Linked DNA regions of Sus scrofa. The protein of the gene in region 7 interacts with the protein of the main gene of each other region in a pairwise test. Links are inferred from orthologs where the notes say so. Each region holds a gene or a part of one and is shown on either strand. Other genes may lie near its edges.

Region 1 (3,500 bases), on a different chromosome or scaffold from region 7:
CAATAATCATGTTTATGTTGAAAGAAAATACCTAATAAGGTAAAAGCAAATGTAATGTAACTTTTAAAACTCCATCTTCTTTGAACTCTTTCAGTTTGGTCCATAATCCTGAAGACCTGTCCTCTCCTCTTTGGCTGCAGCTTTGATGAGATTAGCTAGCTTATTTTGCACAATATGGAAGAGCATACTGCTTCACACCATTTACACTATCCGCTTGAATAAAAAGCAAAACTAAATTTCAGAGTCTGAAAATTGAACACTCAAATAAAAAGCAAAACTAAATTTCAGAGTCTGAAAATTGAACTTCCTTTGGATAGTCACCCCTTTGTATCATATCTTGGGCAAGTGCCGCCTGGGGTGACCAGGAAATTCTTCTGGTAGCAAAACATGAAGTCTGCAGGTTGGGCATGTCCCCTGTTGCATCAGCCAAGGTCTAATGCACTAAGAAGCAAAAAGATGCATGTGAGTCCCTCAGGTGTAGCCTAGCAGAGGCAGCTGTGACTCTATATATCAGGGCTGCCAGCCAAAATGTTTCTGGTGTATCTTGGAGCTTTGCTTGGTGGATTATTACAGTAACTGCTGCAATCATGGCACTCTGTGGTTTGCTGAGCAATATGGTTGGTAACAGCAAAATACCTTTCAGCCAGTTTATTCTATCAAGAGTCTTTCCCCATCCCCAACTTTCAGGAAGACTAGCAGTTTTTCCTAATAAGGAGGTTGAGGAAACCTATTATACCTTTTCTCTGGTTTATTATATATTATTCTCATTTATAATCTAGAAAAAGTCATACCTAAACATACAAATGTCGCTAATACCTTGTTATCAAGTGATTATGGTATTTTGAAGTTAAAATCCCTAGATAATGGATGCACTTTTAAGATTGCTATTTCTTTTCAGATTGCTATTTCTTCAGTAGAACTCTTTGGTTATGAACTTATCTATTAAGTCATTTGCCTGAATACTGACTCTCCTAAAACAAATCATTTTTACTTGAATGAATAATGGAGTGCCAGGTCAGATGGGAGAGAATTAGGAATGGGCAGTATATATGAGGCTCTAACTCTAACCCTAAAGAGTAACCTGAATTACCTGCTTTCTATTCAATGAGCAATGGCAAAGAATAAAATAAGTTTTGTGAAACATTTATTTTCTAAATGGGTCTTTAGAACTTTTAAAATTTCAGATGGAAAAATCAGATGGCTAAGTATCTATCCTGGAGATCTTTTGGGATTAGACATTCTGTGTACATCTCTTCTTATCAGGGTAAATGCAAAATATAATTCCATACCAGGTATCACATGTCTGAAATTATGTTTTATAGATAACGCTTGAATAAGCTGGCTATTGTTCACTTCCTTGAGAAACCTTTCTTTTGTAAGATTAATTTTTCCTGTGTCAAATTACATCTCTGCAACAGAAGATCTGGCTCATAAGTTGTATATCAGTATCATTTGCACAGCAGCAACACCAGGAGTTAATCTATATAAATGTCAAGAATTAACAAAAGATATGCCAGCCTCACATTTTTCTAACATCAAAACTCAAGCTTCTGCATCCTCAAAAGCACATACAGGAGCCTGGGTAGACTGTTAAAGTTAAGTCTTACAGTGGCCATTGGCCATCATTAGGCATGGACAAAGGACACTATTTATAGCAACTCAGGGTGAAGTGGCACTGTTGCTAAACTGCCAACGGCCATGTCACTCACCATTCCTTCCAGTTCTGCTCAAAAGAACAGCTATACTCTGTCCCAATAAATCTCATTGTTGTCCCTTTCTCCTGCTAGGTGTACTGAGATCTGAGAAAGCACAGTGCAATCCATGGCCAAGTATGTGGAAACATACAAACACTTCTGTGTGGTACCCAAAAGCCCAGCTTTTATCCAGTAGAATTCATGATACAGCAGTGGATGATACATGAATATCACTTCAAGGACTGCAGTATGAATTTCACTTAGATGATTAATGGTAAAATATTAAAAAAGATAAGTTTACCTGAGAGTGGAATTTGTGTGCACAAGGCAAAACCGAGAGGTTGTCTGGAGAGAGATTCTCATGACAAATCACACAAGGCTCCTCTTCTTCTTCCTTATCATCATCCTAGAGAAAATACAGGGTAATAAATTCAGCTCATTTCTCTCTCTTAAATTTAAATGTATTTAGAATCAACAGTCTCAGTCTCACCAAATTATTGGCTCCTTCTAATTTGACAGGACCTTGTGAACTGAGGGGCTTCCGGGCTGGTTTTGAGGGCTGGACAGCATTAGCCTGGGGTGGAGTATGGTGGCTGGGTGAAACACTGTTTCCATTTGGCACTGATTTTCCTTGACTCTGAAAAGAAGAATACGGTTTTTTTTTTTTGTTTGTTTGTTTTTTTTAAGAATTGTACTAAAACAAAAAGAGCTAACAGAATACCATAGAACCAGGGTATAGTGAGAATTAGCAAAAGAGCAAAGGTCACTCAGGTTCTTAAGAAATTGTGAAGTAAATGTTGGCAATATAACCCAAATACTAAGAGCCAAGTAAAAACAACTCCAGGTTCTCTTTTAATTAAAACAAGTCTTTGCATAAAATTAGAAAAAATGTACCCTTTTAGAATCATTCAAAATAACCTAGAGTAAATTTCAAGTTTTATTCTAGAACGATCAGGTGGTGTGTCCCATGCCATTTATTAAGTTGAACTGTTTATTATTAATAGATGATTGAATATGATTATAGATTGATTTCCTGATCATGTCATGGAGATAACTGACGGAGTTTACTACTAAAGATAAGGGCTAAAAGATATAGGGTTGGTTTGTTTGTTTTACCTGAGATCTCTTGGGGTAAATAAATTGGGAAATCTTGCAAACAATTTCATCAAATGTCAGTCCAGATAAGGACTTCCCATGAGTATTCTTCAATTTCCGTAAGAAATCTGTAAGCTCCTTTCTGGAAGAGAACAAGGAAAGAGCAGTGCTGATTTTCCTACTGCCTTTGAGGATGTGCTTTCCAAAGGAGATATAAAATCCTATCATAGGATTGCTGTATAGCATACAGATGTGACCCTTCAGATCTCTGGTCTAAAAAAGTGATCACAAGTCCATCTCCATTTATCTTAAACTAAAATGAAAACTCTTAATGTGCTCATTAATAATGATACTTAATGTGTTCATAAGTTCTAAATATTTCTATTTATTTTCTTTCCAAAAATATGTTTTAACTATTTCTAAAAGCTCACTGTAGGAAAATTAATTTTGTACTGAGCTCTTTATAACATACGTCTCAATGCTCTCTTACTAAGGATTAAAGTATTCCCTTCTCTTACTTAGGATTAAAGTATCCCCTTCTCTTACACAGGATTAAAGTATTTCTTTTTAACTATGTTACTATTGGCCCCTCTATTATTTTTAATGGTTTTATTTTATAAAACTCAGAAACAGAAAACAAAGATTTAACAGAACAGGAAAGCAAAGATTAAAAGACAAATTATGTGATAAAAAATCTAGGAATATCTTAAT
Region 2 (3,500 bases), on a different chromosome or scaffold from region 7:
GCAGGATCTGGTCTCCAAAGCGCAACCCCACCAGCGACGCGGGGGTGTTGGCCTGGACCAGCTGCACAAAGACCCCCTGGGGGAAGCAGGCCCCACAGTCAGATCCCCTGCGACCCTGAGCCGGGGACCTTTCTCCAAGCTGCTGTTTGCCTCCTGATCCTCCTGAGCCCACAGGGCACTGGGACTGCAGTGCTACACAGCAGATACAGGCTACCCCATTTTTCCTGGCAAAGAAACACTCCAGGCCACACAGCTCAGCTCAGAAGCAGCCGAGTCAGGAATTCAACCCCGACTGGACCCGCACCCCCGACCACTGGACTACCAGGCCTCTCACAAAGGCATCCGCCGCCCCTGGCTTCCGCGGTCTGCAGAGAGCCACCCAGAAGCCAGATCCCTGTGCGTGGGGAGCAAGGAGAAAGGGCCATGACAGATAGGAGCCGTGGAGGTGCAGGTGGAGGGCCCCTAAAGCAACCCGGGGCCGGCCCATGTGGCACCTTGGGATCTCGAGAGGAAGAGCCTAGCCTCAGGGTTAGTTGGGTGAGCCTCGGCTCCCAGCCTGCCCGGCTCCTTCCTTACTGTGGACGGGGCTTCCCGTGCTGTCCCGGCTGCAGCTCCTGGGCGATGCTGCGGGAACCCCAGAGGCGCGGGGAGGAGCCAGGGCAGTTCGGGCTGCAGGCACGCGGGCTCGCCCTCCTCCCTCCGCGAGGCCCCTCCTCTCCCACCCAACCCCAAACCCACCTTGTCGATGGCTCGTAGCCGCAGCCCCGTCTTGCCACGGTCGTCCTTGCACAAGTGGATCTCGCGCACCCCGGGCTTGATCTCCGCACGCAGCACCCCCAGGCTGTTCCCGGACACGGGCGCCACCAGCTGGCCCGGCGAGGAACCCGAGACCGCTGCCTGCAGAGAGAGTAGCAGTCAGCCAGCCCCTGGGGCCTCATGCCTCCGGGGTGTCCGGGGTGAGGGCATGAATGGGGAAAGGAAAACCGAGTGGAGCACAGGCCCCAGCCCACCCCCAGACCACACGGTTCTCTGCAAAGGACGAGATGGGACCTGGCTGCGTGAAGCCACTAGGGGGCGTTAAAGTCCACACCCCTAATAACAGCCGGGAAAGAAGAGGAAAGGAGCCCTGTTTTCCCAGACAAATTGGTACCAGGAAAAGAACCCTTTAAAATCCACTGAAAAAGTAAAGAAAAATTTCATAGCAAATAGTGAACAGTGGAAGCAAATGGGCTCAATTTGATTTTTGCCCTGAGAAAAATTAAGCTAAAATATCAAAATGAATGGTTTCCCCCCTAAGATCTGGAACCAGGTAGGATGTCCACTCTCACCATTATTATTAAATACAGTAATGGAGAACTAGCCAGAGCAATAAGGCAAGAAAAGGAAATAAAATGCATATAGATTGGAAAAGAAGACATGAAATGGTCCCCGTATTCTACCAGAAAATTTCAAGGACTCTACAAATAAACTCCTTGAACTCATAAGTGAGTTGAGCAATGTCAGATGATACAAGACCAACACAGAAAAAAATAAATTTTGGAGTTCCTGTTGTGGCTGAGTTGTTAACAAAACCTGACTAGTATCCATGAGGACAGGGGTTCAATCCCTGGCCTCACTCAGTGGGTTAAGGATCTGGTGTTGCAGTGAGCTGTGGTGTAGGTCAAAGACACACCTCAGATCTGGCAGTGCTATGGCTGTGGCATATTCCAGTAGCAGTAGCTCCAATTCAACCCCTAGCCTGGGAACCTCCATATGCTGTGACTGCAGCTCTAAAAAGACCCCCCCCAAAAAAATCAATTTTACTTCTCTATACTGACAATTAACATGCAGAAACTGAAATTAAAAATATAGTACTTAGGTGTTCCCTGGTGGCCTAGTGGGTTAAGGACCTGGTGTTGTCACTGCCGGGGCTCCAGTTCGATCCCCAGCCTGGGAATTTCTGCATGCTGTGTGTGCAAGCCCCTTCCACCCCAAAACAATCCTACAATACTGTTTTCACTCAAAAAAATAAATAAATACTTGGGTGTAAATCTAACAAAACATATGCAGGAGTTGTATGCTGGAAATGACAAAACACTGATAAAAGATATCAAAGAAGATCTAAATAAGTGGAGAGACAGTCTGTCTTCAGGAATTGGGAGAATGTAGTAAAGCTGTCAATTGTCCCCAAAATGATATACAGATTTAATGCAATTTCTATCAACAATCTCTAAGAGATGTTTTGTAGATATAAGCAAAGATACTCTAAACTTCATATGAAAAGACAAAGGAACTAGAATAGCTGAAACTATTTTGACAAAAAGAATAAAACAGAAATCACTCTACCAAATTTCAGGACTTATTACATGGCTACGGTAATCCAGACAGTGCAATGCTGGAAAGGGACAGACACACGGATCAAGGAAGAGAAGAGAGAAACTGAAATTAGTCATACACAATAGGAGCTTTTTCACAGAGGAGCAAGAGCAATGCAATGGAGGAAGAATAGTCTTTGCAACAAATGGTGTGGGAGCAATTGAACATTCATAGGCAAAATATGAACACTGATCTCACATTTTATACAAAAATTAACTCAAATTCAATCAGAAATTTAAATGTAAAACATAAAACTCTTAACAGTTTTGGAAGAAAGTAAAAGGAAACATCTTGGAGTTCCCGCTGTGGCACAATAGGATTGGTAGCATCTCTGGAGCTCTGGGATGCAGGTTTGATCCCAGTCTGATGCAGTGGGTTAAGAATCCAGCGTTGCCACAGCTGTGGCTCAGGTTGCAACTGAGGCTGGAAGCCGATCCCTGGCCTGGGAACTCCATAAGCTGAGGGGCGGCCAAAAAAGAAAAAAAAAGGTGGGGGGGAAACATCTTCAGGACCTAGGGTTTGGAGAAATTTCTTAGGACACCAAAGCATGAGCAACAAAAGAAAAAATGAAAACTTCTTCCTCTGTAAGAAACTCTTCATGTGACGAAAGAAGCTACCCACTGGGAGAAAATATTTACAAATCACATATCTGACAAAGGACTCTAGAATAAAGTCTTAAAAATTGACTTAAAAAAACATTTAGAAAATGAGCAAAAGATATGAAGAAGCATTTTACCAAAAAGAATATACAGCTGGTAAATTAAGCACATGAAAAGATACTCATCAACAGCCATGAGCGAAATGCAAATCAAGACTATGATAAGGCATCACTATGCACCTATCACAACGACTAAAATTTAAAATAGTGATAACACCAAATACTGGCAAGGATGTGAAGAAATTGAAACAGTCATGCATTGCTGGCAGGAAAATAAAATGGCACAGCCACTCTGGAAAGAGGTTTTTTTTGGTCTTTTTGTCTTTTCTAGGGCCGCATCCATGACATATGGAGGTTCCCAGACTAGGGGTCGAATCAGAGTTGTAAGCTGCTGGCCTACACCACAGCCACAGCAGCGTCAGATCCAAGCTGCATCTTCGACCTACATCACAGCTCCCGGCAACGCCGGACCCTTAACCCACTGAGC
Region 3 (4,219 bases), on a different chromosome or scaffold from region 7:
GGCTACAGCTCCGATTCAACCCCTAGCCTGGGAACCTCCAAATGCCGCGGAAGCGGCCCAAGAAGTAGCAACAACAACAAAAAAGACAAAAAGACAAAAAAAAAAAAAAAAAAAAAAAAAATTTGCTAAGCAGAAAAATGTAAATTAAGGCCTCCTTAAGATCAAGGTTGCCCTAAAAATTAAAAAAAAAAAAAAAGAAGAAGAAGGGGGAAAAAAGGGAGTTCCTGTTGTGACTCAGCAGTAACAAACCCAACTAGAATCCATGAGGATTCGGGCTCAATCCCTGGCCTCACTCAGTGGGTTAGGGATCCAGCGTTGCTGTGAGCTGCGCTGTAGGCTGCAGACACCACTTGCACCTAGCATGGCTGTGGCTGTGGTGCCTGATTCAACCCCTAGCCTGGGAACTTCCATATGCCTCAGGTGTGGCCCTAAAAATTTTTTTTAAATATCTCAAGGTTGGTTCAATTCTTCCAGAGTTGGTTCTGAGAGCTACTTTTACTACTTGGTCCTGAGAGCTACTTGCTAATTTACACTCCTCTGGCATGAAGATACTTAGCCTGAGACTGAGCACGAAATTGAGGGTTTTATTGGAGCCTGAGTCACTGACTGCTCTTGTCCTCAGTTTCCCTGCTGGACAAGAAGACCTACGTAATTAATACAACAAGCTGAGAACAGTGAAGGAGAGAAAGAAATTCCAGGAACTAGGACCAGATTATTATCTATCATTACATAAGACTTTGCTTGGCCAAAGGTCTTGACATTTGACCACCTCAGTGGGTGTGTCCCACTTGCCAGAACAAGCATGGGGGTGGGGAGGCCAAAGCTCTGGGAAAAGAAAGGCAAAAAAGAAAAGCACCTGATTCTGATAGCCATTCTAAGGCTCAACATAGCCCCTGGCAGACAGAAGGCCCAATTAGCCTAATAATTATTTTCAAGATTATTAAATTCTTCGCAGTGGGAATCCTTTACAAAAAGGAAGCACCATCTGCCAGAGTAACACAATGCCCTGTCCCAAGTCCTCAGACTGTGAATCCCCATTCCTTGTCCCTGCCACCTACCTCTCTTCCCACCTCCAGCCACCCTAGTCCTTCTGAGGGGGCACCTCTTCCTAGCCAGGCTCCAGAGGGCACTGACCTTGCCATGCTTGTGGTGTTTGTGCTTCTTTTTATGAGCTTTCTTCATTTTCTTCTTCATCTTCTTGTCCATCACCATGCCTGGTCCTACCATGCCAGGAGCCAATGGATTCACAGGTGGCATGCAAGGGGCAGGTGGTGGGTAGGGACCTGAGGGCTGGCATCCTGGATGCCCTGGCTGTGGCACAGGATAACAAGGCCCGCCAGGGGGAAAAGCTGGATTCCCCTGGGGCACTCCTGGAGGAGTGGGAAGGGGGCCTGGAGGAAAGGGAGGGTTGGCAGATGGTGGATGGGTAGGATGGCAACCTCCAGGGTATCCAACGTTAGGCGGGTAAGGATTTGGCCCTGGCTGCCCTGGTGGAAAAAGCAAAGAATAAATTTAAGATTAGAACTGCCCAGAGCTTCTGACAACAAACAACAAAAAGAAGGGGATTCCATTTTTCACTCAATACTTAAAGGAAAATGGAGGAGTTCCTGTAGTGGCTCAGTGGTTAACGAATCCCACTAGGAACCATGAGGTTGTGGGTTCGATCCCTGGCCTCGCTCAGTGGGTTAAGGAACTGCAGTGAACTGTGGTGTAGGTCGCAGACGCGGCTCGGATCCCGCGTTGCTGTGGCTGTGGCGCAGTTGCAGCTACAGCTCCGATTGGACCGCTAGCCTGGGAACCTCCATATGCCGCAGGTGTGGCCCTAGGGGGGAAAAAATGTAAAGCTGAAGAAAGAGGAGCATGGAGGGGAGGGGAGACAAACCTATACAAGAGAAAGAAAAGGTAACGTTCCCTGGAGACAGTGAACTCTGGGGGAAGACACTGGGCAGCTATGGACTTTGCTTTTTTGTAGGTTAGGGCAGAGGTGGAGGAGAAACGGACACAAACTTCCTGTTGTGGCCCATCCGAAAAGGGACTGGGGCAGGAGAAGAGATTCTCCCCAAACACTTACCGGCATTGGGATTCCACATGTTCAGGGGTTTTCACCAGCCTGAGGAGAAAGAAATGAAGGTTAAAAGCTGACGGCCCAGAAGTGGGTGGGTGATTTAGACACCAAGCCCAACTTCAACGCCTCCTGCCCCACTGTAGGCTCCCAGGGAACTAACAGGTTCGCTACATAAGAAATGTCTCCTTCCACCCGCTCCTTCGCCCCCAATACCTAGTTTCCCTCCACCTTCCACTCGCTCTGGCTGCGGATTCTAACTCCTCGGGAGAGGGGCTGAGTGCGCGAATCTCGCTATCCCCATCACTCCTCTCCCTTTCCTTGACCGAGCCCGGAAGACTTTAACCACCATAGGCTGCGGAGGGATCTGAAACAACTTCACCATCCCCAAGGATGGGTGACGGGAGACAGGACCCCGCACCCCAGGCTAACAGAAGGACCTGCCTGGAGGCGAAAGGAGGTAAGGCAGCTCAGGAAAGATCCTCAAACGCTTATATAGTTAGACACACCCTCTTACCCTTTAAAAAAGGCAAGTGGAGACCCCGGCTCCCCAGCAACGAAGGGGCGTCTCACCCAGGAATGGAGAAAGAAAGGAACAGAATACTGACGTCCCGTCAGCTTTATACCACCGCCTGGGCGGAGGCGTCCTCCGCAGCCTCCACTCTCACTTCCCGATCACCCTCTCACGTTAGGCTTTGGCATCCGCCTCTGCTGCCTCCGAATTGGTAATATAACAACATTGGGCTTTAGGATTGGAGAACATGCTCGTCAATCACTCTAGTCCCCACTAGGCTAAAAGGCAATGGTTGCAGTGGGGGCGGAGCTGGGCGCTCTGGGGTGAGGCCGGTGCAGAGGGCGAGCGGGCCGGAAATGCCTGGGGGCGGGGCTATGGGTGGGCGGGGCCAGCTTCAGAGCAAGTTCGTGAGTACCTAGAGGAAATTCAACCCTTGACCTCTGAGCTCTTAGTCCAGTGGGTGCCACACCTTATAAAGTAAATATACCATGATAAATGTTGTACAGATATATATACACAGCTTAAGGAAGGGCGGGGAGCTGCCGATATTCACCCTAAAACTCAATATTGCCGCCTCTGTCAGCGTCCATAGAAAGTAAAGAAACATTCTTGGGAGAAATACAGAGATTTCTAATCTCTCCTAGGATTCCCTGTATCAACTACATAGCTCCGCCATCTGTCGAATTGCACAAAGCAGAAACGCCGGAGGTGATCCTTGATGGCTCTCTCCTTCACCTTCCCCTCTTCCCGCTCCAGCATCGGGAAGGGTCCGTTTGTTTCACGAATAAATCTGAAATTTCTCTACTTCTCTTCAATCTTCTCTGCTTCCAGCCTACCATCATATCTCAACGGGAATGCTGCAATGGCCTCTTCTTCTTTTTTTTTTTTTTTTTTTTTGGCCTCATTCACCACATATGGAAGTTCCCAAGCCAGGAGTCAACACTTGCCATAGCAGTGACCCAAGCTGCTGCAGTGACAACCTGGGATCCTTAACCTCCTGTGCCACAAGGGAACTCCATTCTTTTTTCTGAAGGAAGTACTAAATAATATGCCACTATTTGGATATTCCACATTTAGTTTATCCATTCATTAACTGATGGACATTTGAATTGTTTTTATGTTTTGCCTATTATGAATATTGCTGCTATGAACATTCGTGTACAAGTTTGTGCATAATCATAGGTGTGACCGTGTTTTCTTTTTTTATTTCAGCATAGAAATTTATTTAAATTCGAAATTACATGGTTAGGAGTTCCTGCACGGTTCACTGGGTTAAGAACTGGACTACTGGAGTTCCCGTCGTGGCTCCGTGGTTAACGAATCTGACTAGAAACCATGAGGTTGTGGGTTCGATCCCCGGCTTTGCTCAGTGGGTTAAGGATCCAGCATTGCCATGAGCTGTGGTGTAGGTCTCAGATACAGCTCGGATCCCACGTTGCTGTGGCTCTGGCATAGGCTGGTGGCTACAGCTCCCATTCAACCCCTAGCCTGGGACCCTCCATATGCCGTGGGAGCGGCCCAGGAAATGGCAAAAAGACAAAAAAAAAAAAAAAAAAAAAAAAAAAGAACTGGACTACTACCCATGAGAATGTGGGTTTCCCTGGCCCCATGCAGTGGGTTAAGGATCTGGTGTTGACATGAGC
Region 4 (3,500 bases), on a different chromosome or scaffold from region 7:
GGAATAAAAATAAGAAGGTGGGTGAGAAAGGCAAAGATTCTACTTGTTAATGACTTCTAAAATGGACTCTTTTACAAGGCACCGCATTGCTAGTCTGCTCCAGTCCATTATCTTTTGCATTGTAAATAAGGCCCTCATGTCCTGGCCCCTGCATCCTCTTCCACCTCAATTCCCATTCAATTAACTCACCCGCTTAACCCTACGCTTTCATCATACTGATCATGTCTCAGGAACAACCAGTTGTTCCTTCTGCCTGAAATATCCTTCCACTGTCTGAACAGACTTCTCATTCCGCGAGATTCGCCTCATGCATCACACGTGCTCCCTAACTCCAGACCCTCTCCTTTGTGTACACTTATCTACTGCATCACAAGTATTTTTTTTACCTTTTCTCAGGATTTTATTTTGACTCGGGTTTTGATACTCAGTGATGACGGATTTTAACTATGACTTATCCATTCGTATATTCCTACATATCTGATACACACAAGGTGCTACATCAAGGTGGAATGTGCAGAGAAAGTCCAGTAAGGTCTTTCTTTTTGAGTATTTCACAGCCTAGTTGCAGCTGGTGAGAAAGTCTAAAGGGGTCAATGAAATTCACTGAATCAGAAAAAGAGAGAGTTCCACCATAAGAAACAACACAGGGATACCAGGAGGCCCTAGAATGTAAAGGACTCCTAAGCTAGGGCGGGAGGGGGTAAAGGGTAAGCAAATGCACCTGAGAAGTTTGTAAAAAGCCTTGTGAAGGTGGAAAAACGGTTTCGATGCAACCACTGCTGAGCCTCCTGAGGTGTAGTTGTTGGCAAGAGGTTCTGAAAAAGGGAAAGCATTTTTTGGGTTAACTAAATAGACACCTCTTGAAAGGTCAATGTTACATTGTTAGGTAACAACAGCCAAACACACCCACACTCAGGCTGAGTTTCCTCAGAAGTTGTTTGGCAGTCTTCTTTCTCCAACCACACAAGATGTCCATGAAATTCCATCCTCATTTTCCCCACTAGACTGAAAGCACCTTAAATACAGCACAGTATCCCGTTCAATAAATTTCTTTTAGTGAATGAATGACTAATACTACCTAACAAATCGGGCATTTCTAATGAATCACACAGTCAACAAAGTATCATTAGACAGTGCAAATAACAGACATTTAACTTGAGACTTACATCTGTGACGGGAGGGGGCGGCTCTGGCTGGTGGTTCGGTGAACCATTTCTAAAGGAACATTTAAAAGGAAAGGATGAGTCCATGACACACTACGGTTGCCTCATTCTTCCTCCTCATCATGAGTCTTCAGCTAGATGTTTAAAGGAATCTGTCTACGTTCCAATTCTCACCCTGGGATCCAATACCTCTATTTTTTTTTTTTTTTCTGCTTTTTAGGGTAGCACCCATGGCATATGGAGGTTCCCAGGCTAGGGGTCCAATCGGAGCTACAACTGCTGGCCTACATCCTACATCACAGCCACGGCAACGCAGGATCTGAGCCTCATCTGCAATCTATACCACAGCTCCGGTGCGCCACAATGGGAACTCCTAAGATTTTTTCTTTATTACTGAAGAAACTGAAAAAATTAACAAAATTCCAGTAAGTTGGGGTTGATTAGACGAATTGTGGCATAAAAATATGTAACATAAGTTCATGAGAATATAAATGAAAAACATCAGAATGTAAAAGCAATCAATAGATGACTACAGTATGAAATATATAAATATACAAATACAGGAAAAATAGTAGAATAAAATGTATACAATGAAATGCGATCATATATAGTTTTATAATAAAATAGTTCCAAAAATGAGCACTAACTTTTGATCCAAGGGCTATCAACACACCCTGATTTTTCCCTATACTTCCTTTTGCTCTATAGATTGTTGCTCTTCCCTAATGTTTACTTTTTTTATGGGCGAAGAATTTGATCCCAGTAATGAACTAAATCACACAAAAAGAAGAGACAATTTTCAAACTTCTTTTTTTGGTCATGCCCACGGCATTAGGAAGTTCTGGGGCCAGGGATCCCAACACAACAGGGATCCTAAGCCACAACAGCAAGCTGAGCCACAGGAGTGATACCACCAGATCCCTAACCTGCTGAGCCACCAGAGAACTCCAATTTTACGATTCTCTCCCTCCCTCTTTTTTTTTTTTTTTTTTCTTTTTAAGGCTGCGCCTATGGCATATGGAAGTTCTCAGGCTAGGGGTTGAATTGAAGTTTCAGCTGCCAGCCTAGACCCCAGCCACAGCAATGCAGGATCCAAGCCAAGTCTGTAACCGACAACGCAGCTTGTGGCAATGCCAGATATTTAACCCACTGAGCAAGGACAGGGATCAAACCCACATCCTCATGGACACTATGTCAGGTTCTTAACCCACTGAGCACAACAAGGACTTCCAATTCTACCCTAGTTATCTATTGCTTCTATAATTTCTACCTTTTTTTTTTTTTTTTAGGGCCGCACAGAATATGGAGGTTCCCAGGCTAAGGGGTGAATGGGAGCTGTAGCTGCTGGCCTACACTACAGCCACAGCAACACTGGATCTGAGCCATGTCTGAGACCTACACCACAGCCCACGGCAATGCATATCCTTAGCCCACGGAGTGAGGCCAGAGATCGAACCTGTGTCCTCATGGCTCCTAGTCAGATTCGTTAACCACTGAGCCACGACGGGAACTCTACCTATTTTTATTCTTAACTAAATACTTAACTAAATACTTTCAGAAGTAGGATGAACATAGAGTCTGTATAGAATACGTGTTAAATGATGGGACTATAAGACAACTTTATTTTTTTGACTACGCCCACAGACTGTAGAAATTCCTGGGCCAGGGATCGAACACATGCCATGGCTGTAACCAGAGCCACAGCAGTGACAATGCCAGATCCTTACCCACTGAGACACAAGGGAATTCTAAGACAACTTTTGTAAACTGAAGCAAGGCATATCTGTACCAGCTTTCCATTATCTCCGATGGCAAAAGGCAATAATAAGGCAAGACTAAATGCATCCCATAGATAATTTGAAAAAAAATCACCTTAGCTCTCATTCTCATCCTCTTCCTTCAATTATCGAAGATTCATAACAATTAGGAATCATTCTTAGTAAGTAACCAAACAGATTTGGTTTTCATTTTTATTATTTTTCATTTTTATTTTTTGGCTACATTGGAGATGTGTAGAAGTTCCCGGGCCAGGGATCAAACCCACGCCACAGCAGCGACCTAAGCCACTGCAGTGACAAGCTGCTGTGCCACAAGAGAACTCCCAAACAGATTTTAGTGTTTATACAACTATTTCAACTCCCAGTGACACTCTCTGGTGAAAGTATGATCAGGAAGTAAAATAACCCTAAGATAAGCTATAAGAGGGAGAAGTGAAAACCCAGAAAATCGGTCCCTGGATCCCTAAATGCTAACCATAAATGCTATCTTCTAACAGGGAGAACGAAAGCTACAAAAAACACTCTTTTTAGTCTCCGCTGAAGATAATCCAAACCTCAG
Region 5 (4,106 bases), on a different chromosome or scaffold from region 7:
ATTTTAACTTTAAACAGTCACCAAATTTTAGAACTGAAAGCATGCAGAATGATGACCTATTCATCCTCCAATTGTGCAATAAGAAAAATCAAATCTATAAAGGGGAAGAAACATACTCCATACCTGAGATAAGGCAGCTAGTCAATGACAACAGTAGTTACAGAACTGTTTCCTGATCTTGGGCCACTCCCGTTTCCACCAGGCCGTTAGTTCTCTGACATTATAAACAAATCTCAACTCTGAAATCTACCTGTGGCCTAGAAAGATTCAACATACCCCTCAAAAAACCAGGCCAAAAGGCCCCAAAACGTACACAAGAAGACACTCATTTTCTGCTCTTCTCAAGACAGTAGACCAATGAACAACTACATTTTCAGGCATTTTACTTGCAAGGCAATAAAGTGTGACATCTTAAAAATGTGGTTCCAGAGGAGAAAGTACAAGCAGGGATTGATAAAATTCATCTTATTTCCCTTCAAATCTCTTTGATGTTTCTTGGCTCTCAAGACTATATTACTTCTAAGTAGGACTCAGGAAACCTCGCTCGCTGCGGTCCACCCGCATGGCTTTGAGTAACCCGCTGGGAAAAACCCCCACTAAATTAAAAAACCTGTCCCTGATAAGGGTGTGCTACACCACTCCCAACGCATAAGAAGACGGTGCAGGTGACCTGTGCTTTACGGCTCAGTTTCAGACCCCAGGGAGCAGCTGACATCTTGTGAAAAACTTAACATTGCATCCTTTCCGCGGGAATTTATCTCTGTTCTCACAAGGCGTTTCTACTTCCCACAAAGCAGGCCTGGCTTTTCAGAACACTCTGCTCGCCTCTCTACAGCTTCCTTCAAGGTCCAAAACCAGACTTTAAGGACAGAAATCGAAACGGTCACGGACCTCCGGAGCGGCAGGTCCAGCTGGGGCCGGGGGCGGGTTCCTGGCGAGCCCACGGCCAGCTCGCGCCGCGCAGGGGAGGCCCGGCGCACTCCACCACGCTGGCCGAAGCAACCGGTTGCGGCGGCCGCTAGACGCTTCACCTCTGCGCCGTGGCCGCCTTGGCCCTGTGAAGTTCGGACCGCTGCGCGGGCGGCGCGCCCCCGAGTCCTGCTGCGGGTTCGCGTCCCGGCCCCGGAGCGAGCCCGGGGGGCGGGTCCGCGGGGGCTCGGCGGGCGGGAGCGTGGGACGCGCGGGGAGGGGCGCGCGGCGGGCCCAGCGCGCCAGGGAACTTGGGCGCCCCCGGTGCGGCCGACTGGCCACTTTCCTTTCACGCCCGGGGGCTGCCGTGCGCCCTGCTGCCGGCTTGAGACGGCCGGCCGCGTCTCGCTACCGCGGCGAGGCGCCCAGGCGCGCTCCTGCCTCCCGGCCGGCCAGCGCGCGGGGCCTCGGGGGCGCGCCAGGCCGCGCGCGGGCGTCGCGCTCCCCCCGCCCCGCCCCCGCCCCCAACGTGCCGCCGCCGCCCGTTGGCGCCTCAGCCCGCGCGCCCGCCGGCCGCCGGCTCCCGGCGGATTTTCGTTGGCAAAGTTGCGCGGCCGCCTAGAAGGGGCCAGCAGGCAGTCCCCAGTCCCCGCGCCGCCGCCGCCCCTTCAGGCCGCCGCGCGGGAAGGCCCAGCCGGCAGCCCCGCTTTTTTACCTGCCGGGAGTTTTCGCGCGCTCGCTCTCTCAATAGCTCGCTTTTCCCCTCTCGCGCTCGTTTTCTTTCTTTCTTTCCTTCTTTTCGTTCGCCCGCGCGGACGCTTTTTCCGTTCGCGCCGCCTGCGCTCGCCCGCTCGCGCCCTCCTTCCTGCTGGGCTCCGCGGAGCGGGGCGGCAGGCAGCTCTCCCCGCCCCCCTCCACCCGCGCTCCGGCGGAGGCGGCGGCCGCGGCGCTCCGCACTCCGACTCATTCCAATATGGCACGGGCGCAGGGCGCATGCGCCCGCGCCCCCCCCACCATCCGCGCTCCTCCCGGCAGCCGGCGCCCCTCGCGCCGCGCGTGTGGCGCCCCCCGGCCCGGCCTCTCCAAGCCCTCCCGCGCGTCTGCCCGCCCCGCGGGACCTGTGCCGGAGGCGAGGCGACTGCAGACTTAAGTCCTGGGGGTCCAGAGCCACCCGCCGCCGCCGCCCGGCATGCTCCAGCCCACAACTTGCCCTGGACACCCCCTGGGCCGTGGCACAGGGCACGCGGTGGCGCCTCCCGCCCCCGACGGCGCTACAGCCCGGCGCGTTGGGGCCCCGACGGAGAAACGCGCCTCCCAGGACCCAGCGCCCACGCTGCCCCTGCTCGGACCCACGAGGGAAGGGCCCCCTCACCTCACCTCGGGTTGGATGGAACCCCGGGAACCAGGTGGCGTCCCGATGTCGGTTTTGGCGTTCGGGCCGGGGCGAAGCGCGATGCTGTCGTCCGCACGTGACAGCCTCTGGCAAGATGGCATTAGCGCAGGAACGCACCGAGCGGCGGCCTGAGCCCAGTTAGGCGCGTGTCGCCGCGGGAGAAGGCTGCGTCCGCCCGCCTGGCCCACGTCCGGGATCTGGCGCACCCTTGAGACCTGGGAGGGCACCTAACTGCCCCCTGACTGCGAAGTCAGACCGGAGCCCCGCGGCGCACCCGGTATTTCTAGGCTTCCGCAGGAGGCGCCCTGTAAATCCGAGTTTTCCTGCCGCTCGGGGCCCTGGCGAGGTGGCAAGAGACGGCTGTCTAAATCGGGCGGGAGAGCAGGGCCCCGGGGTCGAGACAGTAGCTCCTTAGTGACTATGAACCGGCCCCGCAACCCGAGGTGCCCACTTGCGGTTTACTTCTCCGAGCTCGTTCGCCCCTTACCCACCGAACACAGGTGCTGGTGGGACACTCGCCCGTCCCCACCTGCTCTGGAAGAGAGAAGGAAGTGCCCGAGCCTCGGAGACCTGGGAGTGCTCGGACTCCCGGTCCTGAGAGGAGGGCTCCGATGGGCGCTGATCACTGCTGCCTTTCAAGGTGGAGGAGTCATCCCCACCGCAAGGAATTCAGGGGTGCCAAATGCGGTTCAAGTCTGCGCTGGGAAATAATACCCCACTTTACAGAGTTGCTCACAGGCACGCTGCTGGCTGGATATTTTAACTGCCCCTGAAAAGACAATATGACAGCCAGGGAGGAAGAAAAATGCAAAAAGAGTAAAGTAGTATCCATAATACATGAAACTTTTCACACATTAAACCTTCCACCCACCTACACGTCTTTACATAGTAGCAACCACACATTGTCTTTTGTGTTTGCTACCATCACTAACATTTTTCTTTTGTTCACATGATGCATTTTTAATGTGTGCAGATATCTTCATCCATTCAGTCAGTCTCCTACCATTGCCTATTTTGGTTCCTTACAATTGTTTACTAACACATCCCTTAGTTCTGCCTTTGGGATAGATTCCTGGCAGTTAAATACCCAGATGAAAGGCTAAGCAAGGAAGGGCGAGGTGGGCTTGCCCCACAGTGCCAGAGGACTTACCAAAGAGCTGCTGCCCTACTCATTCTCCACCTCCCAGGAACAAGTGTAAAGAGTTTAATACACATTTCTAAGCCTTGGGTACCATCTTTTTTCTCCCCTATTTTAGCAGTGTCTGTTGGTAGTTCAAGGTTACTTCAGTATTTCTCAGTAAATGTTTATCCCTGCATTTACTATCTGTATTTCCCTTCTATAAATGATCTGTTCATGTCTATTCATCTTTTGGGGACTTGAACCTCTTCTAACTTCGAATAAGCATTTTTTTATGTTATATTGTTCCTATGTTGTCAGTGATCCAAAGTGACAGTCCATTGTTCTTTTTTTGTTTTATTCAATCTGTCATGCTAGTCTCTTGTGATTTTTTTAATTGCTCCAATGCTGATGAAGCGAGCTTTCTTCCACCCATCTGATAGTGTATTTTTCCACTGATTTTCTACAATTTTATTTATTTACTTAGTCTTTTTTGACCACTCCTGGCATTTGGAGTTCCAGGGCCAAGGATCAGATCCAAGCCCCAGTTGCAACCTAAGCCACAGCTGCAGCAACACTGGATCCTTAACCCACTGTGCCAGCCCTGGGATTGAACCTGTGTCCTAGGGCTCCCAAGATGCCACCAATCCCATTGCACTACAGCAGAAACTCTTGCACAATTTAATT
Region 6 (4,010 bases), on a different chromosome or scaffold from region 7:
AGGTTAGGCGGGTGAAAGTTTCAGTTTTGGTTCTGTCTCTTCCTGAGTAGAGCCCCAGCTAAACCTTATTTCCCTCAGCTATAAAACAGAGGAATACTGACTCTGCATCCAAGATGGCCAAGATACTAGGTTGAGCGAGAACCACAGGATATAGAATCTTTCTGTTTCAGAATTTTGTTTCCACATCTGGAAACCACCTCTAGGCTTGCCCATTCCCTCAGGTCCTGTATGGGGCACTTACAGAGATCTTTGACACAAGCGTACTGCTGGTTGCTGTAGAGTGGGGAGCTATAGGCCCGACGGAAACCAGGGGGCTGTAGGATGGGATGGGAGAAAGCATTAGAGATAACAAGGTAGAGCCCCAAACCCCACCTCTCCCATGAACGTCCACCCTTTCTTGGAGTAAAAGATAGGCTGAGGAAGAAAAAGCAGGGAAATGGATGGGATGCCTTGAGGAGGGACCGGCAAGGAGGTAGCGGGCAACATGTCCCCTCCCTTCTACTTTCTTGCTCCCCAGAGCCTACTCACGATCTTGCCGAAGCATCTCTGCATCTCCACGTAGGACTGACAGTGTTCGTGGATGTTAGTTTTGCAGTTCTTACAGCGAAGCCCAAATTTGTTGTTGACTTGGGAGATGGGGAGAACATTTGCGTGAGGTTCCTGATTGCCCTTTCCCTTCCTAACACTGCTGCTACTCTAGTTCTCAGGTCCCTTTTCAGTATAGGACCTGACACTCTCCATCTCTGCAGTAGTTTCTTAAAGCTAAATCTTGCCACAGCCTATCTGATGTACAAATACTCCTCTCCTAAATCCTTTCCCCTGCCCCCTGCCTTTGGCATCACACTCTCCACTTCCCTCTGTGACTCACGCACAATCATCCGGGCGCAGACGTCACAGAACTTGGGCTTCTTGAAGAAGTGATCTTTGAATTTGTGGGGCTTATCATTGACAAGCTTGGGAGGTTCTGGGAGTGGTTCTTCTTCCTCTTCCTCCTCTTCTTCCTCTTCCTCATAGATGTAGTAGATGGGCCCACCCCCAGCTCCCACTGCCTCCCCATTGGCCTGGGGCTCTGGGGGAAGCTCCATCTCCTTTGTCCCTGTAGACTCCTTCCTAAATAACTGCTTCAGCCGCTGTAGCTGAGGGAGGGAAGGAAGGAAGGAGGGAAGGAAGGAAACCCAGTGTTAAAGGAACTGTCTTGCTTTTTAGAGTAGGTCAGGCTGAAGCTAACTAGACATTCTTCAAGCTTGGGGCAAGGGGCACACCCCAGGATTAGGGGGTCCTGGGGCCTGTAGGTGCTAGCTAGCATTTGAACAATACATGAATCGTATACAAGTGAGATCAATTCAAGCAATTTTCTTCAAGACTGCAGTGGCTTCCCAGCTCCCCATACCCCATGGTCAAGGCCCAGACTCACCCCACTTTGCCGAGTCTCTCCTGGGAAGGAGGGCTTATGGGACTCCAGCACCTCCTTTTCTGTCATCCTGCAAGAGGTTGACCTCACTATGAAATCTAATCTCTGAATGACATTCTTCCCCCCTTGTTCCTGTCCCTTGCAGTAGGGTGGTCCTTGAAGGGGAGGCTTTGGGAGAAATTTGGTTAAACAGAGATTCTTTCACAGACAGGGGCAAGGAGCAGAAAGATTCCAGAAAGGCCCAGAGAAAAGCCCAACAGACAAAAGAACTTCCCTACCAACTCCTTAAACCAATGACCATCCTTCTATCCTGATGGGCAACCCCAGAGTTTACTGCCCTGAGACAGTGCACAAGGCTGTGTGGTTTAGGCATTTTCCTACAAGCACTTTGTTTCTCTTGGGAATCTGTGGGCTTTGGTTTTTATTTATTTATTTTTGTCTTTTTCTAGGGCTGCACTCGTGGCATAGGGAGGTTCCCAGGCTAGCGGTCTAATTAGAGCTGCAGCTGCCGGCCTACACCACAGCCGCAGCAATGCCGGCTCCTTACCCCACTGAGCAAGGCCAGGGATCAAACCCGCAACCTCATGGTTCCTAGTCGGATTCGTTAACCACTGAGCCATGATGGCAACTCCAAGGGAATCTGTGGGCTTTAGAAATGTGACACACACCTTCCCAGATCCCCTTTCAAGAGGTTTAATGTGCATGTCCACAAGTGCGCATAGAGGGATGGGCTGGGGACATTTGTTCTCTCCTACCTTTCTTGAGCTCAGGGGCCCGGTGCCTAGTTCCCTAGTTCCCAGCCTGCCTCAGGCTTCAGCTATTTTAAGTTTTCAGAGTAATATGAGACTTTCCTTCCCTTACTACTCTACTCCCCTGACCCCACCCCCACCCTACCCTTCAATCCTAACTCTTGTCCTGGAGTAGCTTAATAATTTCACTCCTAAAACCCAAACTACTCACAGACAATGAGAGAAATGAAGAAGCTGAATAGACTACGGATTGGGGAAGCTGGGGTGAGAAGTCCTGGAAACGCAAAGAGGATGAAGAGGCAACTTACGTTTGGGATTCCCTAAGTCAGTCCACAGTCTGTGGAGAAAAGAGGGAGCCCCTGGGGTCTTGATGGTGGTGCTGGGGGAGGACTGGTCCTCTTCCTTGGGGGCTAAGCCCCCCCAGTACCCTCTGTACTCACACCAGCTACCCAGACGGTATTTGTAGACCTCCTAGCCTCTCGCCTTGGTGTCAGAGCTGAAATGACAGGGCTGGAGGAAAGTGGACAGCTGAGCGACACAGCTGACACAGAGAAATTGGACACGAGGAGGTCTGGGCAGGGCTGGACCCTAACTCCTCCCATCCCCCCACACTGCTGTTGCTTGGTTTTTCATCCACGGTGTGCAGTTCAGCATTGGCTAAACTCAGGAGGGGACAGTGTCCATGCTGGACACTTGCGTGGCTGATTTTAGATGACTTACAAACAGCCTTATCCATCCCCTTTCCCCCAAGGTCTCAATACCTCCCCGATTCTCCCCTCCTTGAACCTGTTTTAGGAACTAGCCTTTGACTTCTTAGCCATTGTCTTCTTGTGGTCCCTGTCTTGTTTTTATACCCTCAAGCATCGATCTAGGCTCCAACAGTAAGAAAGCTTGGAAACTGGTCAAGAAAGGATAATTTGGATTTCCAGAGCTCAGCCAAACTAGATTGCCTTTTTTTTTTTTTTTTTTTTTTGGCCGTGCTCACGGCATGCATAAATTAATTCCCGGACCAGGAATTGAACCCATGTCACAGCAGCAACCAGAGCCATAGAAGTGATAATGCCGGGTCTTTAAACCACTGAGCCACTAGGGATCTCCTAGATGGCCTTCCTGCCCATGAGCAGTGGCTGCTATCTGGTAAGGCAGTGACGACACGCAGTATTGCTTTGTTCCCTCCAGCTGCCCCCAGAGATCTTTTCCCTATTTCTCTAAAGTCTTGTCCTCAGGGTGAAAGGAATTCTAAGAGCTATTTTAAAAAGTCAGGCTGGGACTTCCACCTGAGGGTCTCTGAGGGAGTGAGGGTCCAATGATCACAGAGATGGTTTCATTAACATTGCACAGAAGGCAAGAGTTGTCACATTGGGAGTTTTTATCATCTGTAAGTAAGTCTCCTTCCTCATGGGAGCTGCAAACTCTTGGAGACAGGATGGCCAAGCCTCACATTTCCTTCATCATTCTGACTCCCTGATTCCTTCTCTTTCTGATGATGTCCTGGCATATGAACTGATGGGTCAATGAGATAGTTGGCATTCTTTTTTTTGGAGGGGGGTCTTTTTAGGGCTGCACCTTCGGCATATGGAAATTCCCAGGCTAGAGTCAAATTGGAGCTGCAGCTGCCAGCCTATACCACACCACAGTCACAGCAACGTGGGATCCGAGCCTTGTCTGTGACCTACACCACAGCTTACAGCAACACCGGATCCTTTGACTCAATGAGTGGGTCCAGGGATGGAACCTGCATCCTCAGGGACATTAGCTGGGTTCATTACTGCTGAGCCACAACAGGAACTCTGATATCTGGCATTCTTTTTTTTTTTTTTTTTTTTTTTTTTTTGTCTTTTTGCTATTTC
Region 7 (4,183 bases):
TTTCACTTCTACTCTTCTCATTCTGCATATAATTGTGTTTAAGTCTGATTCAAAGTTAGGTTCCTGAAAGATGTTCTGAATGGGAAGTTCAAAATTTCCTCTTTTCCTCCAAAGACTTTTAAAAAAAGAATGTCAATAGTACTTTCTCGTATATAACCTGTAGTTTAAAAGTGTTCTTATGAAAGTGATATATGCTCTTTATAAATAAAATTAAATCTTTTTTTTTTCACTGCTCCTGTAGCATGTGGAAGTTCCTGGGCAAGGGACTGAACACATGCCACAGCCATGACCCAAGCACAGCAGTGACAATGCTGGATCCTTAACCTCCTAGGCCACCAGGGAACTTACAAAGTTAAATCTTTTTGATAAATATAAAATGCAAAGTAAATGCTCCTATTCTGCCTTCCCCTCACCCCCAAAAATACTGGACTGCCCTTGCCTCTAAAGGGTCTCCCTCTCTGACTACTTGGGGACTCCTGACAGTCTGTAAACCATGACATGTTTTATTACACACCATGTTTGCTTCCCAGTAAGACCAAAACCTCCTAAAGCTGAGTTGTCTTTTACTTCGGTGAAGCTCATGTACTACATAAAGACACACTGCAAAAATGGAACATTTGTTTAATTCTGTGATACTTCCAAAACGTATGCTAAAAGTACTAGAAGTCTTACTTTCACTTCATATTTACAGTGGATATTGGTTGGTTTTGTCACTCTAGCAATCATTACCTCCTCTGACCAAACTACCACCACCACTGAGCTCTTCTTTGGCTTATAAAGATCCGTTCAATTATGCTAGGAAAAAAAATGATATCCAAATCAATCATAGCTTCATAATCCCATAGACCTGGTTCAGGGAAGGGCATAGAACCCAACCTAGACAGTGAGATGCTATCAACTTGAAGCTGAGAGGACATAAAGGACCCTAAATACAACAGCCTCTTAGGACCAAAGGAGTGAATCTATCCAAGTATGGAACCAACACACAAAAGAACAAACCTGAGAGTGAGAGATTAGACCCTGGTGACATTATTAGGCACACACCTATTAAGTACTGTCACTCCATTCTTAATCTCAGAACCATTTGACTTCAAAGTGCCCTTCCTCCAGCCAGCATACTACTTACTCTGATTCCCTAAGTCTTTATCCTTACGCTCAAGGGACTCTTTTCATGGGGCATGAGAGGAAGAGTCTGAAGAAAGGGAGACGTGGATGATCAGAGTTCTTAAAATAAAAAAATATAAATATAAAAAGAAATATAAACATACATTCGAGCAGACTGTGGGCAATAAATGAGAAAATGGTGAGGGCAAAAATGGCTGAGAGTGAAAAAGCGGCAGACAGTTAAGTGTGCAGGTTAGAAGAAGAAAAAAAGACTACAAGAAAGGGGCATCTGGGGAGTTCTCTTGTGGCACAGCGGGTTTAGGAAGCATTGTCACTGCAGTGGCCCAGATGGCTACTGTGGGCTCAGGTTCCATCCCTGGTCCTCGAACTTCCACATGCCTCAGACATGGCCAAAAAAAAAAAAACACGTTGGGGGGCATCCGGCATGAACTCCCTCATTATCTCCTCACTGCAAACCTCTTGTTGCGCGCCCTTTCACTAGCTCATTAGCTACAACTGGCCATCTTTCGGTTCTTAAAAACGAAGTTCTTTCCTGTCTCAAGGTATCTACTCCAGTCTAGATGCTCTTTCCTTTAGTCCTCTCAGGACTGGCTCCTTTCTCACACTTCAGATCTCTTCCAATGCCACAGAAACATTTCTTCAGAAAAGTCTTTCCTGGCCAACCAACCAAACGTGGATCTTTCTCTTTCCATCACCTCTTATTTCCTCTTCAAAGCTCTTATCAACTGTATTTACGTAAAATGTTTAGTTTATCGACTCCACCAACAGAATGTAAGCTTTCTGAAAGCAGAGGTTTTGCCTTGAACACTTCTTTTTCCTCATACCCCAAACTTGACATAGAATGATAGGCAATGCTTATTAAATTCTGCTGAAGAGAATGAACGGCAGAAAGTGAGAAGATAGTTCGGGAAAAAGTCGGCGTCGTAGTCAGCTGTTTCTAGGGAAGGTAACAGGAAGGGAGCAGGTAAAGCCAGATGGGCTGGAGGCCCTCACAGGAAGCGGAAGGTTTACGTCGGCGAGAAAAGGGGGTGTTGGATGAGGGCTGCAAGCTTCTCCCTGTCACGCGTGGGGTGGGCGGCTAACTTGTCAAAGGGGCATCAATCGCTTAGTGACCAACTCCGGGGCGTCCCGTAACCGGGAGCCAAACGCTAAACTCTCTTCAGACACCCCTAGGTCCCGCCTAGCGGTCCTACTCAGCCGTCGTCCACGAAATCGCTAGTCCACCGGACATCAAACTTAACGCCCGGGCCCCAGCCCCTTGCGGGGAGGCAACGTATGAGAAAAACGGCACCTTCGGCCGAGTCACAAAGAGGATCTGACACTGGCCCAGCATCCCGGCGCCCGCTCACCAGCTGGCTGACGCGCTTCTCCCCGCCCCCAGCCCGCCCCGCGGCCCGACTCCGGCCCTCACTTACGCTTGTCTCCGGGCTATGAGCCGATGCATGGGAGTCGCCATCTTAGCGCAGCTGACGCCCGCCGCGCAGGATTTTGGGAAGTTCCTCCAAGGGGGCGGGGCCTTCGAACCCTGGAGGCTGTCGGCGTGGGCGGAGCTAGTCCCGCCTGGCGAGTCGCGGGGGCAGCTTCTGGGGCAAGTAGGGGGTTGGGCCTGTGTCGGGCCCTTGTTTGAGGAAGAGGAGTGAGGTCGGTTGTCTCTTCTGAACAAGGCTTTTGAAGGGTGGGGTCATGTAATTGCTAGGAGAGACAGGGAAGAACATTCTCCAATGAGGTGTTGATCTGTTCCTTCCCTTTTCTTTTTTCACCTGTGGAATATGGAAGTTCCGAGGCTAGGAGGTCAAATCCTGGCTGCAGCTGCCGGCCTACGACACCGCAACTGGGAACCCAAGCCACGTCTGGAACCTATACCGCACCTCACATGGCAGCGTAGGATCCTTAACCCACTGATGGAGGCTAGGGCTCGAACCCGTGTCCTCTTGGATACTAGTCAGTTTCAGTTATTGCTTAGCCAGGGGGAACTCCTGGTCATCTTTATACACAAATGAATTTTTATATATAAATGAATGAAACTGCAGTGTTGAAGAAACTAGAAGTTGTCTGGAGAGCAAAGTGAAAAACAATGAGTTAAACAAGAGTAAGACCATCAGATGAGGAGTTCCCGTCAGTGGCTCAGCGGGTTATGAAACCAACTAGTATCCATGAGGATGCTGGGTTCAATCCCTGACCTTGTTCAGTGGGTTAAGGATCCTGTGTTGCCTCTGCTGCGGTGTAGATCAAAGATGTGGTTCAGATCCAGTGTGGCTGTGGCGTGGGCTGGCAGCTGCAGTTTGCATTCAACCCCCAGCTGGGGAACTTATATATGCCGCAGGTGCGGCTTTAACAAAACAAAACAAAACAAAAAAACCGTCCATTGAAAAATGCTGACCTTATCAAACCATCAAGTGCAATATATGTTAATTACTTACATTTTTATGTATATCATAGTGATGTTATAAGGGTATAGGTAAATTTGATTTGTCAACTGGAAAGAGTAACAAATATTAATTATTTAAGGATATTTTAGCATTTAATGACAGATCATGGAGGTTTAGTCTCCTAAATCCATTTTGTACAAATTTTTTTTTCTTTTGTCTTTTTGCCTATTTCTTGGGCCGCTCCCTTGGCATATGGAGGTTCCCAGGCTAAGGGTCCAATCGGAGCTGTAGCCGCTGGCCTATGCCAGAGCCACAGCAACGTGGGATCCAAGCTTCATCTGCAACCTACACCACAGCTCACAGCAACGCCGGATCCTTAACTCACTGAACGAGATCAGGGATCGAATCCGCAACCTCATGGTTCCTAGTCGGATTCATTAACCGCTGAGCCACGACGGGAACTCCGATTTTGTACCAATTTAATTCATTTAGACATTCTGTTTTCTTCCAAAGATCTGCTTGTGCCAGTATTTGTATGGCTTTGATTTCCATAGTTTATTTTTAGACTATTTTGATGTCTGGTAGGTCAAGTCTCTCCTAAATAATTCTAGTTCTCCTCAATTCTCTTTATTGCTCTTAAACATTCATTTTTCTAGATGAAGTTTGTTCTCAAATTTTCAAGTTTTCCA

The links.
Region 1: the proteins of ZCCHC10 (region 7) and DZIP3 interact in binary tests that used the Homo sapiens proteins (3 or more experiments, as listed by UniProt). The link is inferred for Sus scrofa from reciprocal best matches to the Homo sapiens genes ZCCHC10 and DZIP3.
Region 2: the proteins of ZCCHC10 (region 7) and SDCBP2 interact in binary tests that used the Homo sapiens proteins (3 or more experiments, as listed by UniProt). The two-hybrid records come from large-scale screens. The link is inferred for Sus scrofa from reciprocal best matches to the Homo sapiens genes ZCCHC10 and SDCBP2.
Region 3: the proteins of ZCCHC10 (region 7) and PRR13 interact in binary tests that used the Homo sapiens proteins (3 or more experiments, as listed by UniProt). The two-hybrid records come from large-scale screens. The link is inferred for Sus scrofa from reciprocal best matches to the Homo sapiens genes ZCCHC10 and PRR13.
Region 4: the proteins of ZCCHC10 (region 7) and TFCP2 interact in binary tests that used the Homo sapiens proteins (3 or more experiments, as listed by UniProt). The two-hybrid records come from large-scale screens. The link is inferred for Sus scrofa from reciprocal best matches to the Homo sapiens genes ZCCHC10 and TFCP2.
Region 5: the proteins of ZCCHC10 (region 7) and SFMBT1 interact in binary tests that used the Homo sapiens proteins (3 or more experiments, as listed by UniProt). The two-hybrid records come from large-scale screens. The link is inferred for Sus scrofa from reciprocal best matches to the Homo sapiens genes ZCCHC10 and SFMBT1.
Region 6: the proteins of ZCCHC10 (region 7) and STAC3 interact in binary tests that used the Homo sapiens proteins (3 or more experiments, as listed by UniProt). The two-hybrid records come from large-scale screens. The link is inferred for Sus scrofa from reciprocal best matches to the Homo sapiens genes ZCCHC10 and STAC3.

What each region holds. Positions count from the first base shown.
Region 1 is NC_010455.5:150,798,041-150,801,540, forward strand, and holds part of DZIP3 (E3 ubiquitin-protein ligase DZIP3), read right to left. Parts: intron 2,932-3,500; coding exon 2,811-2,931; intron 2,332-2,810; coding exon 2,185-2,331; intron 2,101-2,184; coding exon 1,996-2,100; intron 442-1,995; coding exon 331-441; 3' UTR 1-330. UniProt on the Homo sapiens protein: E3 Ubiquitin ligase proteins mediate ubiquitination and subsequent proteasomal degradation of target proteins.
Region 2 is NC_010459.5:33,980,575-33,984,074, reverse strand, and holds part of SDCBP2 (syntenin-2), read right to left. Parts: intron 898-3,500; coding exon 739-897; intron 77-738; coding exon 1-76.
Region 3 is NC_010447.5:18,659,395-18,663,613, reverse strand, and holds the start of PRR13 (proline-rich protein 13), read right to left. Parts: upstream 2,801-4,219; 5' UTR 2,580-2,800; intron 2,524-2,579; exon of another isoform or gene 2,279-2,523; intron 2,111-2,278; 5' UTR 2,091-2,110; coding exon 2,072-2,090; intron 1,488-2,071; coding exon 1,059-1,487; intron 1-1,058. UniProt on the Homo sapiens protein: Negatively regulates TSP1 expression at the level of transcription. This down-regulation was shown to reduce taxane-induced apoptosis.
Region 4 is NW_018085018.1:278,577-282,076, reverse strand, and holds part of TFCP2 (alpha-globin transcription factor CP2), read right to left. Parts: intron 1,216-3,500; coding exon 1,167-1,215; intron 816-1,166; coding exon 722-815; intron 1-721.
Region 5 is NC_010455.5:35,178,274-35,182,379, forward strand, and holds the start of SFMBT1 (scm-like with four MBT domains protein 1), read right to left. Parts: upstream 2,801-4,106; 5' UTR 2,287-2,800; intron 1,851-2,286; exon of another isoform or gene 1,625-1,850; intron 1,085-1,624; exon of another isoform or gene 892-1,084; intron 1-891. UniProt on the Homo sapiens protein: Histone-binding protein, which is part of various corepressor complexes. Mediates the recruitment of corepressor complexes to target genes, followed by chromatin compaction and repression of transcription.
Region 6 is NC_010447.5:22,553,531-22,557,540, forward strand, and holds the start of STAC3 (SH3 and cysteine-rich domain-containing protein 3), read right to left. Parts: upstream 2,801-4,010; 5' UTR 2,469-2,800; intron 1,580-2,468; 5' UTR 1,481-1,579; coding exon 1,415-1,480; intron 1,137-1,414; coding exon 869-1,136; intron 627-868; coding exon 529-626; intron 315-528; coding exon 242-314; intron 1-241. UniProt on the Homo sapiens protein: Required for normal excitation-contraction coupling in skeletal muscle and for normal muscle contraction in response to membrane depolarization. Required for normal Ca(2+) release from the sarcplasmic reticulum, which ultimately leads to muscle contraction.
Region 7 is NC_010444.4:135,304,471-135,308,653, reverse strand, and holds the start of ZCCHC10 (zinc finger CCHC domain-containing protein 10), read right to left. Parts: upstream 2,801-4,183; 5' UTR 2,582-2,800; coding exon 2,541-2,581; intron 1-2,540.